Macaca fascicularis: one gene and its partner. The protein of the gene in region 1 interacts with the protein of each later gene in a pairwise test. Links are inferred from orthologs where the notes say so. Each region holds a gene or a part of one and is shown in the gene's direction. Other genes may lie near its edges.

Region 1 (11,038 bases):
ACCGTGCAGGTTGTGTGCAGCATAGTTGGGAGTGGGGTGGGGTGGGGGTAAGTGGATGCTGAAATCCAGTCTGTGCCCCACTTGCCAAATGCAGGGCTCGAGTGCCAGCACAGGGTTGTGTCTGTTGGAGAGAAGGGAGTGGCACCTCTTTCCCATTTGCCATAGGCCCCGATGGGCTGGGAGTGGTCCTGCTTTGTCAAAGAGGATGCCAGCCCACTACCTGCAAATTGGTTGGCTTTGCAGCTCACATCTCCCAAGTCAATTCCATGTTTCCTGATTTTCAGGTTTGTTGAGGCTGTTCCCCCACCCACTATTGGATTTAATGAATCCAGTTGCTATGTGATTCTATTCTGAGTTCTTTTTGTAGACATCCCATCTGGCAAGGCCATGACTCTCAAAGCTATTTCTATGACACCAGATTGGATCCTCATACTCTCATGCTATTGTCTGACTCAGCATGACACAACAGCCAAGGCATCTGAATCACACCACTCTTCCTTTTTCTTTATTTAACAAACATTTACATAGTCCTTCCCCTGTGCCAGGCGCTGTCCTAACACTTTCCAAATATTAAGCTATTTAACCTTCCAATCTAAGAGGTGGGTACTATAATTATCTCATTTTACAGATGAGGAAACCAAAGCTCAGAGAATTTAAGTGACCCGCCCAGGGTTCACATGGCCATAGGTGGCAGGGCTGGGATTCAAACCCAGGTCGACTTTCGCTCCATCTTGGCTTTTTTCTTGTCATTCTTTCCCTCCCTCTTCCTCTTCCTTTCTCCCCTCGTTTTCTCTTCCCTTTCTTCTTTCCTCATTCCCTACTTCCTTCCTGATAGAGCCACAGCAACCGCCACCTGCTTCCCTCGGACACTGCCCAGCCCAGCACACCCTGCCCCCCATCCTCCAGGCAAGGCTCTGCCAGGCTGTCCGTCATCACCCTCATTTCCCTGTGCCAGCAGACAGGGTGTGCCAACCTCAACCCTGTCAACTCGCTGGCTCCGACCACAGCAGCTGGCAGAGGCCTGGAAGCTGGGGCCAGGCCAGCTTGGAGGGCAGTTGGTACTTCGGGAAGTTACATGATGTGCCCAGACCTTCCCCAGTGATGTTTATGTTACCCATATCATAATTCATTTTCTTGCCCAGGGATTTTAATGTGGGCAAGATGGCTTGTGCTGCTTGGGATAAACTTAGACAAATAAGGGGCCAAAAGAAAGTGAGAAGTGAGATAGAGGGATAGAGAGACAGAAAGAAATAGAGAACCCTAAGGCAGGGGGCAAGCGTGAAGAGACCCAGGTGTCCAAGATTCTCTCACTAGAAGTGGCTGCCTACAGTTTTGGGAACAAGGAGGAGTGGCTTGATATTATCCCTCTATGTGTGAATGAACTTCTCTCTGAGTTTCTCAAAGGACTCATGTTCTTCTCCATAACTATGCCTTTGCATATGCGGTTCCCCTGGCCTGGAAGGCCCTTCCTAATCGTTTCTACCCGAGGACCAGGGACCATGCTCACGTGCTGCCCGCTTATGGGAACCCTTTCCTGAATTCCTGCGGGGGACTCTGCTGGTCTCTCCTCTGACACCATAGCATCTGTGTGCACATGCATACTTCTGTTTTGAACTAATTGGCTTACATCCCCTCTCTATGCCCAGTACAGGAGTGGTGGCTGGAGGAGGCTGAGGAGGTACAGGAAGTCTATCAGCATGTCACAGAGGAAGGAAAAGTGGGGATTGTGAAAGCCTCAAGGCAAGGTGACTCTGGGTTCAAGGCTCACCAGCTGGTGACCTTGGGCAAGTCACCTAACCTCTCTGTGCCTCAGCTTCCCTTCTATAAAATGGGAATAATATTACATTTTGTACAGTTTCTACATCATTGAGTTGTGTGAGAATGAAATGAGTTAAGATATGGAAAGCACATAGAACAGTGTCTGGCGTGTACAAATCCCTCAGTAAATATTAGTCATTATTATTATTATTATTATTATTTTTTTTTTGAGACGGAGTCTGGCTCTGTCGCCCAGGCTGGAGTGCAGTGGCCGGATCTCAGCTCACTGCAAGCCCCGCCCCCCGGGTTCATGCCATTCTCCTGCCTCAGCCTCCCGAGTAGCTGGGACTACAGGCGCCCGCCACCTCGCCCGGCTAATTTTTTTTTTTGTACTTTAGTAGAGACGGGGTTTCACCGTGTTAGCCAGGATGGTCTCGACTCGATCTCCTGACCTTGTGATCCGCCCGTCTCGGCCTCCCAAAGTGCTGGGATTACAGGCTTGAGCCACCGCGCCCGGCCCATTATTATTATCAAACTGGAAATAGTCAGAGTTGCCTAAAGGATTAAAGAAAGTACTTTTGATGAAGTGTGAAGCATATAGGAAAGTCTTTGTGATTATCATTAACAATATCAAGAGCAGTGCTCAATCCATTGTGATTTCCAGAATTAACTTACAAGGTGAGGCCACATTGCTATTGCTTTTTTGAGCAAATGAAATGATGAATATGATGTTTTTTTCTTTTCTTTTCTTTCTTTATTTTTTTCTTTTTTTTTTTTTTTTGAGGCGGAGTTTCACTTTGTCACCCAGGTTGGAGTGCAGTGGTATGATCTCAGCTCCCTGCAATCTCCGCCTCCCAGGTTCAAGCGATTCTCCTGCCTCAACCTCCTGAGTAGCTGGGATTACAGGCATGCGACACCATACCCGGCTAATGTTTTATATTTTGGTAGAGATGGGGTTTCACCATGTTGGCCAGGCTGGTCTTGAACTCCTGACCTCAAGTTATCTGCCCACCTCGGCCTCCCAAAGTGCTGGGATTACAGGCGTGAGCCACCGGGCCCAACCAAATATGATGTTTTTTTGTAAATGATAAAATGACAAGCAAAAATCGTGATGGTTTAATAAACGTTCATTGCCCGACCCAAAACGTAGTCCTGCCTGTAAGTGTGGCTCGTTCTGGGACCTCTGTGGCCTCAGACTTTCAAGAGGGTGGTTTTACTCCCAAAGTCCTCGTTTTGGGGACCTAAGGCAGAAGCTAGTGATGGACACGGGGAGTTGGGCATGTAGCTTCGCTTCTGTCAGGTTAGGAAACCTCTTCCTTGTCTGTATCAGTAAACAAACAGAAGTCATTATTCGCTTCTGCCGACATTGTAACGTTAAAAAAAATTGACCATCAGATTGAGAGAAAAGGCTAAGTCACTGGCGCCAATTTCTTCTGTACAGATGGGAGAACTCAGGCCAAGAAAGGGGAAAGGACCTGTTCAAAGCCACAAAGTAAGGGCTAGAACGTAGATCTCTAGACCCCCTAGTTCCCTGCCCTTTCACTGGTGATTGCCTTCCAAAAACTCAATGCTCTCCCAATTCGGAGCCCCATGTCCTTAAATGGAAGGTGATGAAGGCGCAGTGCTCCTGTCCAGAGACCAGGTGGGGAAGACTCTTTGGAGGCAGGGAAAGTGAGACGGGCAAAGCCAGTATGCAGGACACCCCCCCTACCGTGCAATTACCTCAATCTTCACAACCCTGTGGGGCGGAGACTATCATTATTATCCCCATTTTACTTCTGTAAAAGAGGGCCAGTAACACTGCAGGGATGTAAACGGAGGCCCAGGATCGTCCAATCGTCCCATCGTTCTCTGCAGCTCTTCCTCCTGGAGCCTGGCCATTGCTAAGGTCCAGAACGTGTGCAGGGCACAAAGCAAATAGGTCTCCGGTACTGGGATGAGGTTTTGACTCTCTATACCCCATGGTACCCAGCACAGCGCAGGCACGGGGTAGGTCCTGGCTGATCAATCGTCCTGCCTTTTGAAAATGCCATCTTTTCCACAGGTTTGGCCATGCTGTACGCCCCCAGGATACACCTTCTCATACCAAGTCTCCACTCTCATGTGGTTCTATTCTAGGACTTTCCACCGCCTCCACGTCCCCTGAATATTTTTTCTGTCTCCAGCTCTCAGAAACTTTGACTCCTTGGCTGCCTTATTCTTTGTGCATATTGGTCAAGAGCCAAAGATCTACCGGCCTCAGCTTTCCCAGCTGTACAATGGGGTGCCGAGCCAGTGGCTGGCTTTGACGCGCTGCTAGATTGGAATCCGAGACATAAGAACCGCACAAAATTACCACGTCCCACCTCCTCTCCCCGCCCCCGTCCCCGCCCTCTTTCGGAAAGCGCCTGCGCAGAAGCCGCCGGACCGCCCTCCACGATTCGAATCCGTATCCGCCCTTTTCGCTGCCTCGAAGACTCGGCGCTCGACAGGCGTTTACTAGCCTGTCTTCCAGTTTCGTCGCCGCCGCAGGCGCACCTGCCGAGTTCCGAGCGACCGATGGAGATGGCGGCCGCGGCTGTGTAAGGGACGGTGGAGGCCCTGGCCCGAGGACGGGACAGGCCTGCGTGTCCGCAGGAGCCCGGCCGGGTACAGAGGGTCAGGCCTAGTCTGAGGGACGGGGACACGACTCCTCCAGAACGGAGATGGGCGGGCCCTGTGGGTGTGGACCGTGTGTGATTGTGGTGGGTGTGACGTGAGAGATGGGAGATGCGGCTTTCAGGCCGTGCGTTTCGCTTGTGTGTGCTTGTGATGATTGGGCCCTGTGCGGTTACGCGGGGCATATACACTTGGGTTTCGTTGTGCAGCTGTGGGGGGAGTGGGTGGGTGCTTGTCTCCCGAGCGGTTGTTTGATTCTCTGGTTGTGTAAAGCTGAAGCGTTTGTGTTCTGAGTTCGTGTAGAGATGTTTGGAGTGTTTTGTGTGGTGTCTGTGCCGTGTGTGACGTTGTCATGTCTGCTCCACGGGGTTGAGTCGTTCGTGTTGTGTGTGGTCATGCGACGTGTGTATAATCGTGTGACGTGGGTTGTGGTTGTGTGCGGTCGTGAGGGCGGGTTGAGTGCGGCTGTGGGATATGTCGTCGATGCGGCATGTGGCGGGGTGACATTCGTGCTGGATGTACGGTTGCAGAACATGTAGGTTTTTGTTTTTTACTTTTTACGTGATTTAAGAGTGCAAGGGGCTTGCGTATGTGTTCAGTTACGGTTGTGGGGTCCGATTCGGTGGTTTCTTTATGGTGTATGCTTAGTTATATGATTTTGGAGTTCATTCATTTGTTCGTTCTTTCATGGAGCTTTATTGTGCTTCTTCATTGTGTGTGCCAGGTACTGTGCTAAACCTTGGGGAGACGGCGAAGGGGAAAACATACAGAGTTTGTGCCCTCCCAGATTTTTCAGTCTTACTTGGTCACTTCACGTATGTACCTGCGGTTATAAATTGAGATGAGTGCTGTGAAGGAGAAGTCCATTCTGATGCTCTGAGTAAGGGGCATTTCTTTGAGGAAGTGAGGTTTGGGTTTGGGCTGAGGCGTGAAGGGTGGTTTTGTGGCATGGATGTGGTGGGCTTTGTGTTTGATTTGTGGTCGTTTGGGGTGAGTGCATGGGAAGAAAGGGTGCTGTCACAGTCAGCATTAGATGAACCACTGGCTGGGGAGGGAAGAGGCCAGACCTAGAGCTACTATATTTCAGTGGAAAATGTATGAAGTCACTGGGTTTCTTAACTAGAGGGGAAAAATAGGGTCCTGGTGTCTCATTTGTTTATTTTCTGAGTTGCTGCCACCCTTCAGCTTTGAGGACCAGGCAGTCCCTCCTCAGTGGTCTTCTACAGTCCATCCAAAGCTGAGGGTCACACACCCCCCCTCACTATATACTGTGGCTTGTAGCCCCAGGTTCTTGGGGAGAAATTTCTCTGCTTTTGTGGAATGGTTTTGTCTCAATTTCTCTTGTGACTGAGAGTCTTGATGAGGTGACATTGGAAGTGACTTTGCCATGGGCCAGTAAGACAGAGAATGTAACTTATTAAGCCCTGAAATGTTTAGACACCAAAGCCTTTTATTTATTTATTTACTTACTTTTTTGAGACAGAGTTTCGCTCTTGTTGCCCAGGCTGGAGTGCAATGGCGTGATGTCAGCTCACTGCAACTTCTGCCTCCTGGGTTCAAGCATTTCTCCTGCCTCAGTCCCCCCACTAGCTAGGATTACAGGCGCCTACTGGCTAATTTTTGTATTTTTAGTAGAGATGGGATTTCACCATGTTGGCCAGGCTGGTCTTGAACCCCTGACCTCAGGTGATCTGCCTGCCTTGGCCTTCCAAAGTGCTGGGATTATAGGCATGAGCCACCATGCCTGGCCAGCCTTTTATTTTTGAAGCAGTGAGAACATCAGGTTTGCTACTTAACTGTCACTTACTGGCTTATAAGATCTGTCAGGGTGCAGTGGCTCACACCTGTAATCTCAGCAGTTTGGGAGGCTCAGGCAGGAGGATTGCTTGAGGCCAGGAGTTAGAGACCCGCCTGGGAAACACAGAAAGAACCTGTTTCTATAAATAATTTAAAAACTAGCTGGGTGTGATGGCACACTTCTGTAGTCCCAGCTTCTTGGGAGGCTGAGGCAGGAGGATCACTTGAATCCAAAAGTCGAGGCTGTTGTGAGCAATTATAGCTCACTAGGTGACAGAGCAAGATGCTGTCTCTTAAAAAAAAAAATCTAGTAAGCCCATTAGAGATAAGTGCTCCACAAATATAAATTTTTTCTTTTTGACTAGTAGGTTTCTAATGTTTCTCTTTAACTGACGTTAGGAATTTTGTTTTTTTTTATGTTTTTATGGGAGATACTATGTCTTCATCTTTGCATTTCTAACACAGGTGTCTTACAAGTATCAAGAACTTAATATATGTGGTTGAATAAACAATCAAAGTAAACAGCATCAAGTAAAAACTTCTGCTTGTTGATAAGTACTTCAGACATTCCCCCAGTGGCTAAAGTGGCATATGAATTACGAAGTTGGGTCATTTGGAATGAATGTAAGAGAATTGCCAAGGTATTATTTGCTTATTTCAAGAATCTGTGTTTCCCACTTAATTGAGTTGTTGTTGTCCAGTGATGTTTTCACGTCTTAGGTTTTGCAGCTTGCTTGGTCTAAGGATTTGAGAAAGAGTTTGTTTTCTCAAACTTGCACTGAACAAACATTAAGTACCCTGTTGAACTGTGAAAAGAATGAAGAAAATACTCAATTGCTACCAGTTTGCCTGAATTGGCTTTTTTCCCTTCTTCTTTTCTTTCTTAGGCTCCTCCTACTCCAGAGAGGAAACCTCATTCAGGGCCATGAGGCTACTTCCTCACCGTCTGTGTGCTACTTAAGCTAATGCTGCGGGAACTATGATTCCTTGGGAGGAATCAAGCTGACTCTTGGCATGAGATCCCTGCCTTCCTAGGGTTGAGAGCGGCACCGCCATGGCTTCTCTGGATGACCCAGGGGAAGTGAGGGAGGGCTTCCTCTGCCCTCTGTGCCTGAAGGATCTGCAGTCTTTCTATCAGCTTCACTCACATTATGAGGAAGAACACTCGGGCGAAGACCGTGATGTCAAAGGGCAAATTAAAAGTAAGAGGCAAGGACCTTGCTGGGTCATATATATACTATATAGGACCTTGCCTATACCCTGCTGTCATTGAGAGCTTTAACTCACGGGATAGTTCTCATCAGCTTCAGTGTTGCCACGGGAATATGATAACAGTAGTAGCAAACAAATGACTAGTGTTTGTCATGTGCCAGGCATTTTCAGAGTCTCCCTGTTTATTTCATTTAATCCTCACAATAACTGTGTGGCTGTGAGCCACATTTTGCACCAGACACAAAGAGATTAGATAACTTATCTAAAACCACTCAGTGAAACACAGTTTGACTTTGAATCTAGTAAATGTAATTGCTGTGATCTGGCTTGACTATTCTCTAACTACTAGCCTAATAGAATTTGGAGAGGAATTTCTTCCTTTGCTATGATGATGGAGGCACATTATGCACCCATTTTACCTGTCACAAATTTAAGCCTACCCACCATCCTTCCTTCCCCAACTGGTATCTTGCCCTCTGTAGCCCAGAAAAAGGAAGGTCGTAGTTGAAAAACAAAAGAAACAATCTGAAAACCTTGGTTTTTGAGCTTCCAAGAGCTCAGATCTGAGAGAGTTGTGGAAAGAATTTTTCAAAGGTAGTTTTGACTATACATATGTTTATTGTATTTCCTGGACATCAAATTCTAACCTCCAGATAAGATGCTTCTCCTCTGGGCGGGCACAGTGGCTTATGTTTCTATTCCCAGCACTTTGGGAGGCCAGTGTGGGTGGATCACTTGAGCTCAGGAGTTCAAGACCAGCCTGGGCAACATCGCGAAACCCACCTCACAAAAAAATTAAAAAAAAAACTAGCCGGATGTGATGGTGCACGCCTGTTGCCCCAGCTACTCAGGAGACTGAGGTAGGAGGATCGCTTGAGCCCAGGGAGGGCAAGGCTGTAGTGAGTGATGATCGTGCCACTGTTGCCTGGGCAACAGAGAGAGAGAGACCCTTTTACACACACACACACACACACACACACACACACACACACACACACACACAACAAAGATGCTGCTCCTCTGGAACTTATTTTTGTAGTTTTCAGCTAACTTGCTTCTCATAGCTGGCAGCATTTCTGAAGGCCATGAGATTAAAAAGTTCTGGATGCTGTATTCACAGTCTTTATTGGGAGGGAAAGAAAGGAATGACCATGTATTTCTAAGTGTGCTTTGGCTTTCTGACAGGTGACTCATATGTACTTTGTAATCACATAGTTGTCCCTAGAGTCCCACTCTATCTCACTTTTCTGTTCAGTAAAAAAGAGTTTCTAAAAGTATAAACAGTTGCAACTTCTATCCAAAAACAACAAAGGCAAACATTTCTGAAATCCTGAGGGCTATGGTGGATGAGGTGGCTTCTGGCTGTAGAGGCTGTAGAGCAGAGCCAAAACTATTAGGAGGGGAAAAAAATGCTGTGCTTTATAGTTTTTAGAGTTTATTTCACAGACATTATTATTTCATCTGACTCTCCTAACAACTCTGCAAGAAGGTGATTGGTCTTATTTTATAGATAGTAAGTGAAGTGAGGCTCAAGAGATGTTGAGTTACTTATCCACGGTCACACAGGAATTGCAGAGCTAGGCCTGGAATGTAGGTCTTCTGTCATCTCTATGTCCAGTGCTGCTGTTTGCATGTGACATCACAGGGTGAGAGGCCCCGTGTTTCAATCACAGCGTGCATTGCAGCTTCCTGGAGGAAATGAAGCAAAAACAAAACTGAAAAACCTGATTATGTAAGTTTCCTTTGCCAACCAAAGGAAGAGCCTCCATCATTTTCAACTAGCTTCCAGTCTTGGTGTCAGCTGAACTAAGTCATATACAATGCCATTGCTAAAACTGGTGATGCCAGTAGGTAGAGAGGTTAGAGAATGTTCCCCGATTCCTTCACTGACCCTTTTTTAAGAGGAAGAGTGTTTAAGGTTATTTAGAGAATACAGATACGGGAATCTATTTAAGGAATACTAAATAGAATGGAAATTTTGTGCCTTGTGAAAGAAACTTGAAAGGATCCTTGGCTGGGCACAGTGACTCACACCTGTAATCCCAGCGCTTTGGGAGGCCATGGCGGGAGGATCGCTTCAGCTTAGGAGTTTGAGAACAGCCTGGGCAACATAGATCTTGTCTGTACCAAAAAAAAAAAAAGAGAAAAAAAAATTTTTTTTTTTAGTTAGCTGGGTATGATGACATGCACTTGTAGTCCTAGCCACTTGGGAGGCTGAAGCAGAAGGATCCCTTGAGCCCAGAAGGTTGAAGCTGCAGTGAGCCATGATTATGCCACTGCACTCCAGCCTGGGCAGCAGAGTGAAACTTTGACTCAAAAACAAAAAACAAAATAAAGTTACTTCAGCCAGGTGCAGTGGCTCATGCCTGTAATTCTAGTACTTTGGGAGGCCAAGGCAGGAGGATTGCTTGAGCCCAGGAGACCAGACTGGGCAACATAGCGAGACCATCTCTACAAAAAAATTATTTAAAAAAATTAGCCAGTCATAGTGGCACGCACTGGTAGTCCCAATTACCCAGGAGGCTGAGGTGGGAGGATCGCTTCAGCTTGGGAGATCAAGGCTGTCACATTCTAGCCTGAGCAACAGAGTGAAACTGTCTCAAAAAAAAGAAAGAAAAGATCCTCTTGGTTTTCCCTTTATCTCCCACCCTGCCTTACCCCCTGCATCTCTACCTCTAGTACTACTAATGATCATATCTTTAGTTAGAAAGGAATTCTTGATTATGTTGCAGTTTTCTGCATTTCAGAATCAGGAAAGTAAAGTTTTAAGGATTGACATGAAAGGTTTTTTGAAAAGCCCTTTAGAAAGCAGATTACCTCTCCATTTGGTCTTTTGATTCTTAGAAATGTTATGACATGGTTAGTTTTAGGCAAGTGAAAAGTTAAAGCCAAAAGAGTGAACCTTAGTATTAGTTTTTAGGGGCAGTTCAAAAAAGAAAAGATAGACTAGTCATTAGGAAAAAGTTTGTGGATTCGAAACCCAGTCCTGGTTCAGCTCCAGTTTAGCCCATTTTCAGTAAGTAGAAGAAAAGATAGCTGAAAATTGACTGTGGCTTCTTGCTTTGTTATTGTTTTTAAAAATATATGGGATTATTCTTAATTGACCTCCTGTGGAAGGGCCATGTCCATTCTGGGAAGATTGCCAGGTAGTTTTGCTGTCTCCTAATGTGGTTAATGGTATAGATTGCCTGTTTAACCTGATACTCTAGTCTTGTTTGCAAAAATGAATTGTTATTTGCTAACTCACATTCCTGTTTGCTAGACCCTTTGTTCACATCAGGCAGTTTCCTCTCCCCTGTTACTAGAAAAGACTACTTTAGGCCAGGGACAGTGGCTCATGCCTTTAATCCCAGCACTTTGGGAGGCTGAGGTGGGTGGATCACCTGAGGCCAGGAGTTTGAGACCAGCCTGGCCAATGTGGTGAAACCCCGTCTCTACAAAAAAAATACAAAAATTAGCTGGGTGTGTTGGCATATGCCTGTAATCCCAGCTGCTTGGGAGACTGAGGCAGGAGCATCCCTTGAACCCCTGGGAGTCAGAGGTTGCAGTGAGCTGAGATAGCTGCCATTGCACTCCAGCTTGGGTGACAAGAGTGAAACTGTCTTAAAAAAAAAACTACTTTAGTGCATTTTAA
Region 2 (10,269 bases), on another chromosome or scaffold:
CACCGGAGGGCCTTGTGGGGCTTGCAGTTACCTGGTCACATGCCTGCGTGGCACAGGCCCAAGTGCTGTGGTCCTTTTTGTCACCTGTGGGTGTGGCTGGCCGGTCACTGTGTTTCCCTCACAGCAAAAGCACATTTTCTGTAATAAACAGGAAATGTTATTCACCTGCAAAAAAATGGACTTACCTCTGTTGAGTCCAACTTGAGATGATGGCCAGTAACTGGGTTTCGGGGCAGGTGGGGCCGGGCTCCTTGACCTGGGGCAGGGAGTTTTGGAGTGCTCACTCTTCCTTCTCCTCTTTTTTCTCTCTTTCCCCAGGGTCCCCCAGCCATCCAGGGGGAGGCGGGAGTGGGGCCTTGCTGGGTGGAGTTTGGGAGGGTGACCTCAGCTCCCCAGGCGCCGTCCTGACTCCCAGGCCAAAGCTAACATGGGCTGAGCACAGCCCATCAGGGCGCCCTTATTCCCAAGAACTCAGTTTTGGCATCACAGCCTCCCCAGCTGTGTGAATTCTAGTTTCAGCTTGTGGCGGGCTGAAGACAAATGATTTGTCGAGGGGAGAAGTTGGGCCCCCTTTTTGCTGAGCGAGGAGGCTCAGTCCTTGAGTCATCGCCTTTTCAGTACTGACCTGCGTTCCCAGAGCTGGCCATAAAAGGCTGTGGGCTGCGGGCCCCAGGCAGGCCCTGCAGGCTCAGCTAGTGTGGCCTGGTGGCTCCAGGGGCAGAGGCGGCCTCTCCCTGCCCCTGCTTCCCTCATGTTGCCCTTGGCCTCTCTTTCTGGTTTTCTGCTGAGACTTCACCCTTTGGGCATCCCCTCCTGTGGAGCGCGCAGCCAGCTGCAGGGAGTCCGGGTGCCCGGGGCCTCGTACTTTGGAAGCAGGAGCCTGTGGTGGCATGAGGTGCTCTGGCGCGATGCCCTTCCACACCTTCTGGGCACAGGGAACCTGGCAGTTCTGCTGTCTCCGACCATTCGCCTAAGCCTCTGGAAGGCTGACCGGGCCTCCCTGCCCAGGCTGGAGGCCAGGACCCCGGCTTCCCTGCACTCCTGCCCTGTTGAGAAGCTTGGCCCTCAGGGCTGCTTCTGGTCCGAGAGCCCTATTTCCTGTTGGGCTGGGGCAGGGAATGGTCACACATCACCTGTGGAGAGGCTGCCGAGGCTGTGTGGCTGAAGCTGTGGATTTGGGATTTTCCTTACGTTTTGGTGACTTTGCTCAAGGATGAAAGTCCTTGACCGATGATGGGTCCCAGGCCGCTGTCCCCTTGTTCCCACAGAGCCCTGGCTTCCCCAGCCCCGGCCTGCGGAGAAGGCTGTCCCTGCCGGGTCCTGGGCTGGAGGCCCAGTGCTCCCACACGCCCTCCTCCCTGCAGCGCCGAGCGCTGGCCGAGGAATTGGTATTTAAATTTCACAGATGGACAAAGTAACTGAGAAGTTTAAGAAAAGAACTTCAGGTCACAGAGTCAGTGGCAGGGGGCGGGAGTGAAGTGCAGAGCCATCTTAGTGGCCTGAGTTCCTTCTGGGAGCACCAGGTGTGGGGAGGGGCTCCGCACCCCTGTGGCTTTGGGCTCACAGATGGCGCCAAGCACGCTTGGGCCTGGGGCCGGGGCGGGCGGCGGGAGTGTTTATCCCATGAACGAGCTTGGCTCTGCACACCCGGTGGTGCCGTTTATCTTGGCGTGCTTGTGCATGGAGGCAGCCTCTCGGGAGCCTGGGCTGTGGACCTGCTTTCGCCCTGGAGGGCTTTGCAGGGTGGGAGCAGCGGATGCCACCAAGGGGGAGCCCGTGCGGTGGTGGAGTCAGCAGCAGCTCCCGCTGGGGTACGGCAGGGCTGCCCTCCCATCGCCGTGGGCGACCCTGTCCAGCTGCTGCTTTTCCCTCGGAGCTCCCACCTCGCTGCTGTTTTTCTATCCCGCTCAGTCTAGAGAGCGCCCGTGTCCATCCCCAGCTGGGTGAGAGGGTGGTGAGTGTTTTTCACGGGGATGCCAGGAGTGGGCAGTGGGGTGAGGACGGGTTTGGGTCCAAGCTGGGCGACTGTCAGACTGTTGTGTGCAGGAGTGGCTTCTCCCACTTATTTCCAGAGCCTGACTGCTCTCTGGGAAGTACTTCGTGCTTCTGAAGAGGGCCGGCCTACATTTGGGTGGCCTGGGACCTGTGGGCAGACTGAGCCAGGGAGGTGGAGGCTTGCCCAGAATCAGGCAGAGAGGACGTGGCCCCTCGGGGGTGGGTCCCAAGCTCCCCAAGGACTCCGGGCCTTTGTTTCCACATGGCCCGCCTGTCACTCCTTACTCTTCCTAGACCGAGAAGGACAGAGGTTTTACTCTAGGGGCAGAGGAAGAGGTGAGGATTTGTTTTGTTTTGTTTTGTTTTGTTTTTGAGACAGGGTGTCACTCTGTCACCCAGGCTGGAATGTAGTGGCATGATCACAGCTCACTGCAGCCTCAACCTCCTGGGCTCAGGTTATCCTCCTGTCTTCGCCTCCCAAGTAGCTGGGACTACAGGCCGGTACCACCTTTGCAGAGTCGGGATTTTGCTGTGTTGCCCAGGCTAAAGTGGAAATATTTTGAAGAGGCCTAGTTGTCATGTAGGATTTAAATTAAACCGCTGTTACAGAGACCCAAAAATCATTGGTTTAAGTCAGATAGCCGATAGTTTATGTGAAAAACAACAGTCCAAGGCCATTCTGAACATGCAGCTTTCATCTCTGAACCCAAGGTGCTTCCTCCAGCTCCTCCCATCACATCAGCGTCCCAGTCCTCAGGAGGGAGAAAACAACAAAGGGCTCATGCTCCTTTCCTTGTTCATTTCTGCTGAAGGAAGCTGGGAAGTGCAATCTCAAGCTGGGAGGCCATGAATCCAGCTGAAACTAGATAGTTATTTCTGGTTCCTTCCTTTAGGAGGAATTTCAGTTAGCAGTCTCTGCCACAGGCGACAGAGTTTGCTTTAATTGGCGGGCCTTAATTGGGCCATAATGGGTTGGTGGGAAGCAATCTAGAATAGAGTTTAGAATCCAGACATGGTGGCTCAGGCCTGTCATCCCAACACTTTGGGAGGCCAAGTCAGGAGGATCTCTTAGAGCCCAGGAGTTCAGCATAGACATAATGCTGAACATACCTACAAAAATAAAAATTTAAAAATTAGCCAGACATGGTGGCACATGCCTGTAGTCTCAGCTACTCAGGAGTCTAAGGTGGGAGGATGGCTTGAGCTCAGGAGTTCAAGGTTCAGTGAGCCAGGATTGTGCCACTGCACTCCAGCCTGGGTGACAGAGCAAGACCCTGTCTCTAAAAAAAAGAATATAATTTTTTTAAAAAAAGAATATAGAGCCTAAAGCTGGAGTCTATCCAGTCCAACCACTTTGTTTTGGAGAAGTATTTAAGACCTAGGAAGGGAAGTGGTTTGTGGCATTTCCTGGGCTTCTTGTAGAGCAGAGGTCAGCAAACTTTTTCTGTAAGGATCGGATAGTTAATACTTCCAGCTTTGCAGACCTTTCACAGCTTTGCAGTTTCTATCATAACGACTGAACTCTGCTGTGTTAGACAAAAGAAGCCATGGATAATACAAATGAGCATGGCTGTGTTTCAATAAAACTTTATTTATACAAACAGGTGGTGGGCCAGGTTTGATTCCTGAGCTGTAGTTTGCCAACCCTTGTTGCAGAAAATAAGTGAGATTCCTGCAAAATGGGGAGCCTGGCACATCAGCACTGAACAAGGAGCAGCTGCAGTTACTGTTGCAGGCACGTCTTGTCACTGCCTTCCCAGGGCACACAGCTGGCAGGTGGCAACACTGGAGTCTATGTTCTACCATCTGTGCTGTGCTGAGCACAGTGCTGGGTCTCCTCACTCTCGCCCTCGTCTGACCCACCTTAAGAGCTTGCACTATGGGACGACTTTTGCATTAGCACCTGTTTATGCCAAGTGCTACATGGGTTGGGAGTGTTATGGTGGGGGCAGGAATAGGGGAGATAATCCTGCCCTCAGGGTGCTGTACTGTCTAGATGAGCACCTTCTAGGAATTTTTTTTTTTTTTTTGAGACAGAGTCTCGCTCTGTCACACAGGCTGGAGTGCAGTGGCGTGATCTCGGCTCACTGCAACCTCTGCCTCCCAGGTTCAAGCAATTCTCCTGCCTCAGCCTCCTGAGTAGCTAGGACTACAGGCATGCGCCACCACGCCCAGCTTTTTTTTTTTTTTTTTTTTGGAGATGGAGCCTCGCACTGTCGCCCAGGCTGGAGTGCAGTGGCGTGATCTCAGCTCACTGCAGCCTCTGCCGCCCAGGTTCAAGCAATTCTCCTGCCTCAGCCTCTCGAGTAACTGGGATTACAGGTGCCTACCACCACGCCAGGCTAATTTTTATATTTTTAGTAGAGATGGGATTTCACTATGTTGGCCAGGCTGGTCTTGAACTCCTGACCTTGTGATCCACCCACCTTGGCTTCCAAAGTGTTGGGATTACAGGTGTGAGCCACTGTGCCTGGCCTTTTCTTTTTTCTTTTCTTTTCTTTTTTTTTTTTTTTTTTTTTTTTTTTTGAGACGGAGTCTGGCTTTGTCGCCCAGGCTGGAGTGCAGTGGCCGGATCTCAGCTCACTGCAAGCTCCGCCTCCCGGGTTCACACCATTCTCCGGCCTCAGCCTCCCGAGTAGCTGGGACTACAGGCGCCCGCCACCTCGCCCGGCTAGTTTTTTGTATTTCTTAATAGAGACGGGGTTTCACCGTGTTAGCCAGGATGGTTTCGATCTCCTGACCTCGTGATCCGCCCATCTCGGCCTCCCAAAGTGCTGGGATTACAGGCTTGAGCCACCGCGCCCGGCCTTTTTTTCTTTTTTTTTTTTTTTGTGTGACAGTTTCTCTCTTCTTGCCCAGGCTGGAGTGCAGTGGCATGGTCTTGGCTCACTGCACTCCTGAGTTCAAGCGATTCTCCTCTCTCAGCCTCCCAAGTAGCTGGGATTACAGGTGCCCACCACCACGCCTGGCTAATTTTTGTATTCTCAGTAGAGATGGGGCTTCACCATGTTGGTCAGGCTGGTCTCGAACTCCTGGCCTCAGGTGATCTACCCACCTCAGCCTCCCAAAATGCTGGGATTACAGGCTTGAGCCACTGTGCCTGGCCCCTTCTAGGACTTTTATTTTATTTTATTTAGAGATGGAGTCTTGCTCTGTTGCACAGGCTGGAGTGCAGTGGTGCGATCTCAGCTCACCACAACTTCCTCCTCCTGGGTTCAAGTGATTCTCCTGCCTCAGCCTCCCAAGTAGGCTAGGACTACAGGCTCGTACCACCAGGCATGGCTAATTTATGTATTTTTAGTGGAGACAGGGTTTCGCTATGTTGGCCAGGCTGGTCTCAAACTCATGACCTTGTGATCTTCCCACCTTGGCCTCCCAAAGTGTTGGGATTACAGGCGTGAGCCACTGCACCCGGCCTGTAGGAATTTTAAAAACTATCTCTGGCTGAGAAATACCAGGCCAGGTTGGAGATGAGAGCCATCAGAGCAGCAGGTCCCTTGGCACCCCTGAGCTCTCCCTTCTCTTCCCCGCAGGCTATGACTTTGCAGCCGTCCTGGAGTGGTTCGCCGAGCGTGTGGACCGCATCATCCTGCTCTTCGACGCCCACAAGCTGGACATCTCCGATGAGTTCTCAGAAGTGATCAAGGCCCTGAAGAACCATGAGGACAAGATCCGCGTGGTGCTAAACAAGGCAGACCAGATCGAGACACAGCAGCTGATGCGGGTGTATGGGGCCCTCATGTGGTCCCTGGGCAAGATCATCAACACCCCCGAGGTGGTCAGGGTCTACATCGGCTCCTTCTGGTCCCACCCGCTCCTCATCCCTGACAACCGCAAGCTCTTTGAGGCTGAGGAGCAGGACCTCTTCAAGGACATCCAGTCTCTGCCCCGAAACGCCGCCCTCAGGAAGCTCAATGACCTGATCAAGCGGGCACGGCTGGCCAAGGTAGACCCCAGGGTGAGGGGAGCAGCCTATTGCCAGGCAGGGCCGTGGGGCTCTGAGATAGGCACTCAGGGCCCCGGGATTGCCCGAGACCCATCCCAGCTCACTGCACAGGCGGACCTGTGCTGCGCTGTTTCCCTCTGCAGAAACCAGTCTTTGGTCAGCACCCGCGTGCAGCCTGCTCTTAACTAAGATTCTCCACCCGGCCTCCCTCTAAACCTGTTGTGTGTGTGGTTTATGCCCCATCTACTTTCAAGAAGGGTTTGACTATGCTTACAACACAGAAACAGCACACAGGAAGTTACCGCTGAAGCAAAGGAGGCAGCCTCAGAAATGGGGTGTTGGGGGATAGAGCTCTGAGGCTTGTTGGCTTCCCTCTAGGGTTTTTTGTTTTTGTTTTTGAGGCGGAGTCTGGCTCTGTTGCCCAAGCTGGAGTGCAGTGGCATGATCTCAGCTCATAGCAACCTGCACCTCCCAGGTTCGAATGATTCTCCTACCTTAGCCTCCCGAGTAGCTGGGATCACAGGCACACACCACTATGCCCAGCTAATTTTTGTATTTTTAGTAGAGGCAGGGTTTCACCATGTTGGCCAGGCTGGTCTCAAACTCCTGACCTCAGGTGATCAGCCCACCTCAGCCTCCCACAGGATTACCCCTCTGGGGTTTACTGGGCCTGAAGTGCACTCAGCACAGTGCTGGACGCCAGGGACATGGCGGGGAGTGACACACAGCCCATCCACTCCTCAGCCTTCATGGGGAAAGCAGAGCACACAAACAAAAACTAAACATCAGTTGTTTGTGTCGTCTTGGAGTGAGCACAGGCTGCTGCGGGAGCTGGCGCTAGGGGCTGTCCCAGTGGAGTAGAAGGGCTAGGGGAGGCCTGGCAGGAGCTGAAGCTTAAGCTGCCATAGGAAGCAGCTCGTGAGGAGACGAGGTGCCAGCCTACAGACTGGGAAGCACTGGGCACGGAAGCCAAGGTCACGCTGAGGCGGTGTCAGTCCAGCAGACCTCGCAGACCATCCTTACGTCTCCTGGCAGCCCAGGCCCGGTGGCACCTATCAGCAGCCTCTGAATGGCCGAAAGATTTGGAATCTCAGTGGCTGACCAAGTACTTGAGTGAGAGCCAGCGTGGCTGGGGCCAGAAATCAAAGGTTAATGCCACCGGCGGGCCCTTCCAACACAGAATGACAAACACATGCCCTTAGGGTGTCTGACTTTGGATAACACCCTATTGTGAGCCAGCCTAGACGAGTCACCAAGAGTGACAGTCCCGGCTGTGGTTGGGGTTGGCCCCGTGGACAGGAGTGTTTGACACAGATTGTCTGAACAGCTGAAAAGTGACCAAGCCCACACTTGTATCTTAGCAGGGCACCTAGCTATTCTTTCAGGCTCTTAGTACAGGGTTGGGCTGTTTAAGAAATAGGCTCCAGCCAGGCATGGTGGCTCACACCTGTAATCCCAGCACTTTGGGAGGCCAAGGTGGGTAGGTGGATGACCTGAGGTCAGGAGTTCGAGACCAGCCTGGCCAACACGGTGAAACCCCATCTGTACTAAAAAAAATACAAAAATTAGCCGGGCATGGTGGCGCATGCCTGTAATCTCAGCTACTTGGGAGGCTGAGACAGGAGAATCACTTGAACCCAGGAGGCAGAGGTTGCAGTGAGCCGAGATAGTGCCACTGCCCTTCAGCCTGGGTGGCAGAGCAAGACTGTCTCAAAAAAAAAAAAAAAAAGAAAAAAAATAGGCTCCAGCCAGGCATGGTGGCTCACACATGTAATCCCAGCACTTTGGGAGGCCAAAGCAGGAGGATCCCTTAAGGCCAGGAGTTAGAGACCAGCCTGAGCAATCTAGTGAGACCCTGTCTCTATTTAATTTAAAAATTAAAAAAAAAATTAAAAAATTAAAAGAAAGGCCCTTGCTGTAGCTCCCATCTCTAGGCCAGGCCAGAGCATGGCTGGGGAACTGTCCTGCCTGCCGAGCCAGGCCCTTTGGTGATACGTCCCCAGTTCTTCAGTAAGACAGCACAGAGAGCAGGGTGCTTGCCCCCACCTCGTGGCATGCAGGGAGTACCAGGGCAGACCTTGTGTGGGCATTAAGGCTTCAGTGGCAGCTGTGCCTGTGGCCAGGGTCACAGTCCCCCGATCTCCAGAGTATAGCTGAGGACTGAGGATGGGCACTTCCTGGGGAGCCCATGCCCCTGCCTGCTCAGAGGCACGGAGACTCTGCAGGCGTGGAGCACAGTGGCCCTCGTACCCACTCTGTCTCGAGGCCAGACAGTCAGAGGGCATGTGGGTGCCACCCGGCCTGAGCAGTGAGAACTGACCCATCATCCTTTGCCACCACTGTCCTCCCCTTGTGTCGCAAGTACCCTGGGCCCCACCTCACCTGCAGATGAGGAATTCTCATTCCGGCCTGAACCTCCGTGAGCTGTGTGCATGGGCATGGGCCAGACGCCTGCTCTGGAGGACACAGGGCTGCGTGGTTTTCTTATTTTTAATTTTATTATGTTATTTTTTGATTTTTTGGAGACAGAGTCTCACTCTGTCACCAAGGCTGGAGTGCAGTGGCACGATCTCGGCTCACTGCAACCTCCACTTCCCAGGCTTAAGCCATTCTCCTGCCTCAGCCTCCTGAGTAGCTGGGATTACAGGCACCCACCACCACGCCCGGCTAATTTTTATATTTTAGTAGAGATGGGGTTTCACCATGTTGGTCAGGCTGGTCTCAAACTCCTGACTTTAGGTGATCCGCCTGCCTTGGCCTCCCAAAGTGCTGGGATTACAGGCGTGAGCCACCGCGCCCGGCTGGCTGGATGTTTTTCTAGAGATCTCCCTTCTGGAGCCTCCCTGTGAGTGGAGTCAGCTTTGAGAGAGGAACCCATGCAAAAACCCAGGTGAGTGACCCCAGCCTCAAAGGACAAAGGACGTCCTGAGCTGATGGGTGTGGGTGTGGCCCTGACTGAGGCCCTCTCCTTGCAAGGCAGAGAGAACTCCCCTGCTCAGCCACCTTTGAGGACAGACAGGACAAGGGGCGGGCATGAGCCCTGCCTGTTTGTCTGTGAGACCGTGTGTGACCGCCAGGCCCTAGGCACACTGAGTCACCACGCCTGGGAAACTCTGTGGCCTCCAGTGTTGCCTCACACCTGCCACTTCCTTTTCCTGGAGTGAATGGTGCTTTCTGTGGTGACTCCCACCGGCCTGGGATCTGCCTGCCACAGTGTCCCTGGGAGACCCTAGATCTAGACCCACATGGCACGGGGCTGTCTCCCTCAGGCAGTTTTCAACCAGGCCCCCACCCAGGGCAGACAGGCTTAGGCTGAGTGGGGTAGTGGATGGGCTGGAGCCGGGGAGAAGGGCAGCGAGGCTGGCTGGCCGCAGCCCTCCGTGGCTGGACACAACTTGGCAAGGCCAAGGGATCTGAGGGCTGGGCTGCTCTCGAGGGGTGCCAGGTTCCCAGCTTGCTGCGGGGAAATGAAGGGGGTACCGCCCTGAACTGGCACGTCTAAGCAAGGTATTGACGCTTGGATAAAGCTGGCAGCTGCCAGGAGAAGCCTTTGTGGGATGTTTTGAATCCTTCGTCATCTGAGCTGTGATGATGGAGTGGAGTGTGGCACGGGCCCACTGGAGTTCTGTGGGCTCCGTCAGCACTCGGCAGGGATTTGGACATGCAGGTTGGTGGGCCCTGCAGGAAGCCTGCTCCCAGCTTGGGGGAAGGGGGCTTGCAGAGAAACAGAAAGAACATGGGCTGTGAGGCACCTTCAGCAGCCCTGGGTTCCAATCCCAGCTCCTCCACATGGAAGCCAAGTGCCCCAGGCAGCATTTCCCAGCCTTACTTAGGGCCAGGGTTGGGGGAATCCCACCCCGCAGGGCTGCGGTGAGGGTTGAATGGAGGGTATGTGATGTGCCCAGCGGTGCACAACAAATGGCCTCCTTTGGGTTGACAGACTTGGTTTTACTATTCCTGGATCATCACAATGATCCATGCAAGGCCAAGGCTGTTGTCTTCTGTTTCAAGTGCATTTTCCTGTCCTGTCCTCTGCCCCACGGCAGTGAACAGCTGTGGCTCTTGCCAGATTGTGTCTGCTCCTAGGCCTGTGGGAGCCAGCGGTGGCAGCAGCCTTAAGCTTGACCCATCCCTCCCGCTTCCCTGTTCCTGAGTGAGCACCTTGGAGTATCCTTGGAGTGTCCTTGGAGGCTCTGCTCTCGGGGGCAGCCTGGACCAAGACAGCGCCTGATGGCCACCCCCGTCCTCACAGGTTCACGCCTACATCATCAGCTCCCTCAAGAAGGAGATGCCCAATGTCTTTGGTAAAGAGAGCAAAAAGAAAGAAC

Evidence for each region.
Region 2: the proteins of RBSN (region 1) and EHD1 interact in binary tests that used the Homo sapiens proteins (3 or more experiments, as listed by UniProt). The link is inferred for Macaca fascicularis from reciprocal best matches to the Homo sapiens genes RBSN and EHD1.

The regions. Positions count from the first base shown.
Region 1 is NC_088376.1:153,359,770-153,370,807, reverse strand, and holds the start of RBSN (rabenosyn-5), read left to right. Parts: upstream 1-4,280; 5' UTR 4,281-4,319; exon of another isoform or gene 4,320-4,481; intron 4,482-5,119; exon of another isoform or gene 5,120-5,275; intron 5,276-6,657; exon of another isoform or gene 6,658-6,833; intron 6,834-7,079; 5' UTR 7,080-7,246; coding exon 7,247-7,394; intron 7,395-11,038. UniProt on the Homo sapiens protein: Rab4/Rab5 effector protein acting in early endocytic membrane fusion and membrane trafficking of recycling endosomes. Required for endosome fusion either homotypically or with clathrin coated vesicles.
Region 2 is NC_088388.1:9,521,453-9,531,721, forward strand, and holds part of EHD1 (EH domain-containing protein 1), read left to right. Parts: intron 1-5,528; coding exon 5,529-5,941; intron 5,942-10,193; coding exon 10,194-10,269. UniProt on the Homo sapiens protein: ATP- and membrane-binding protein that controls membrane reorganization/tubulation upon ATP hydrolysis. In vitro causes vesiculation of endocytic membranes. Acts in early endocytic membrane fusion and membrane trafficking of recycling endosomes.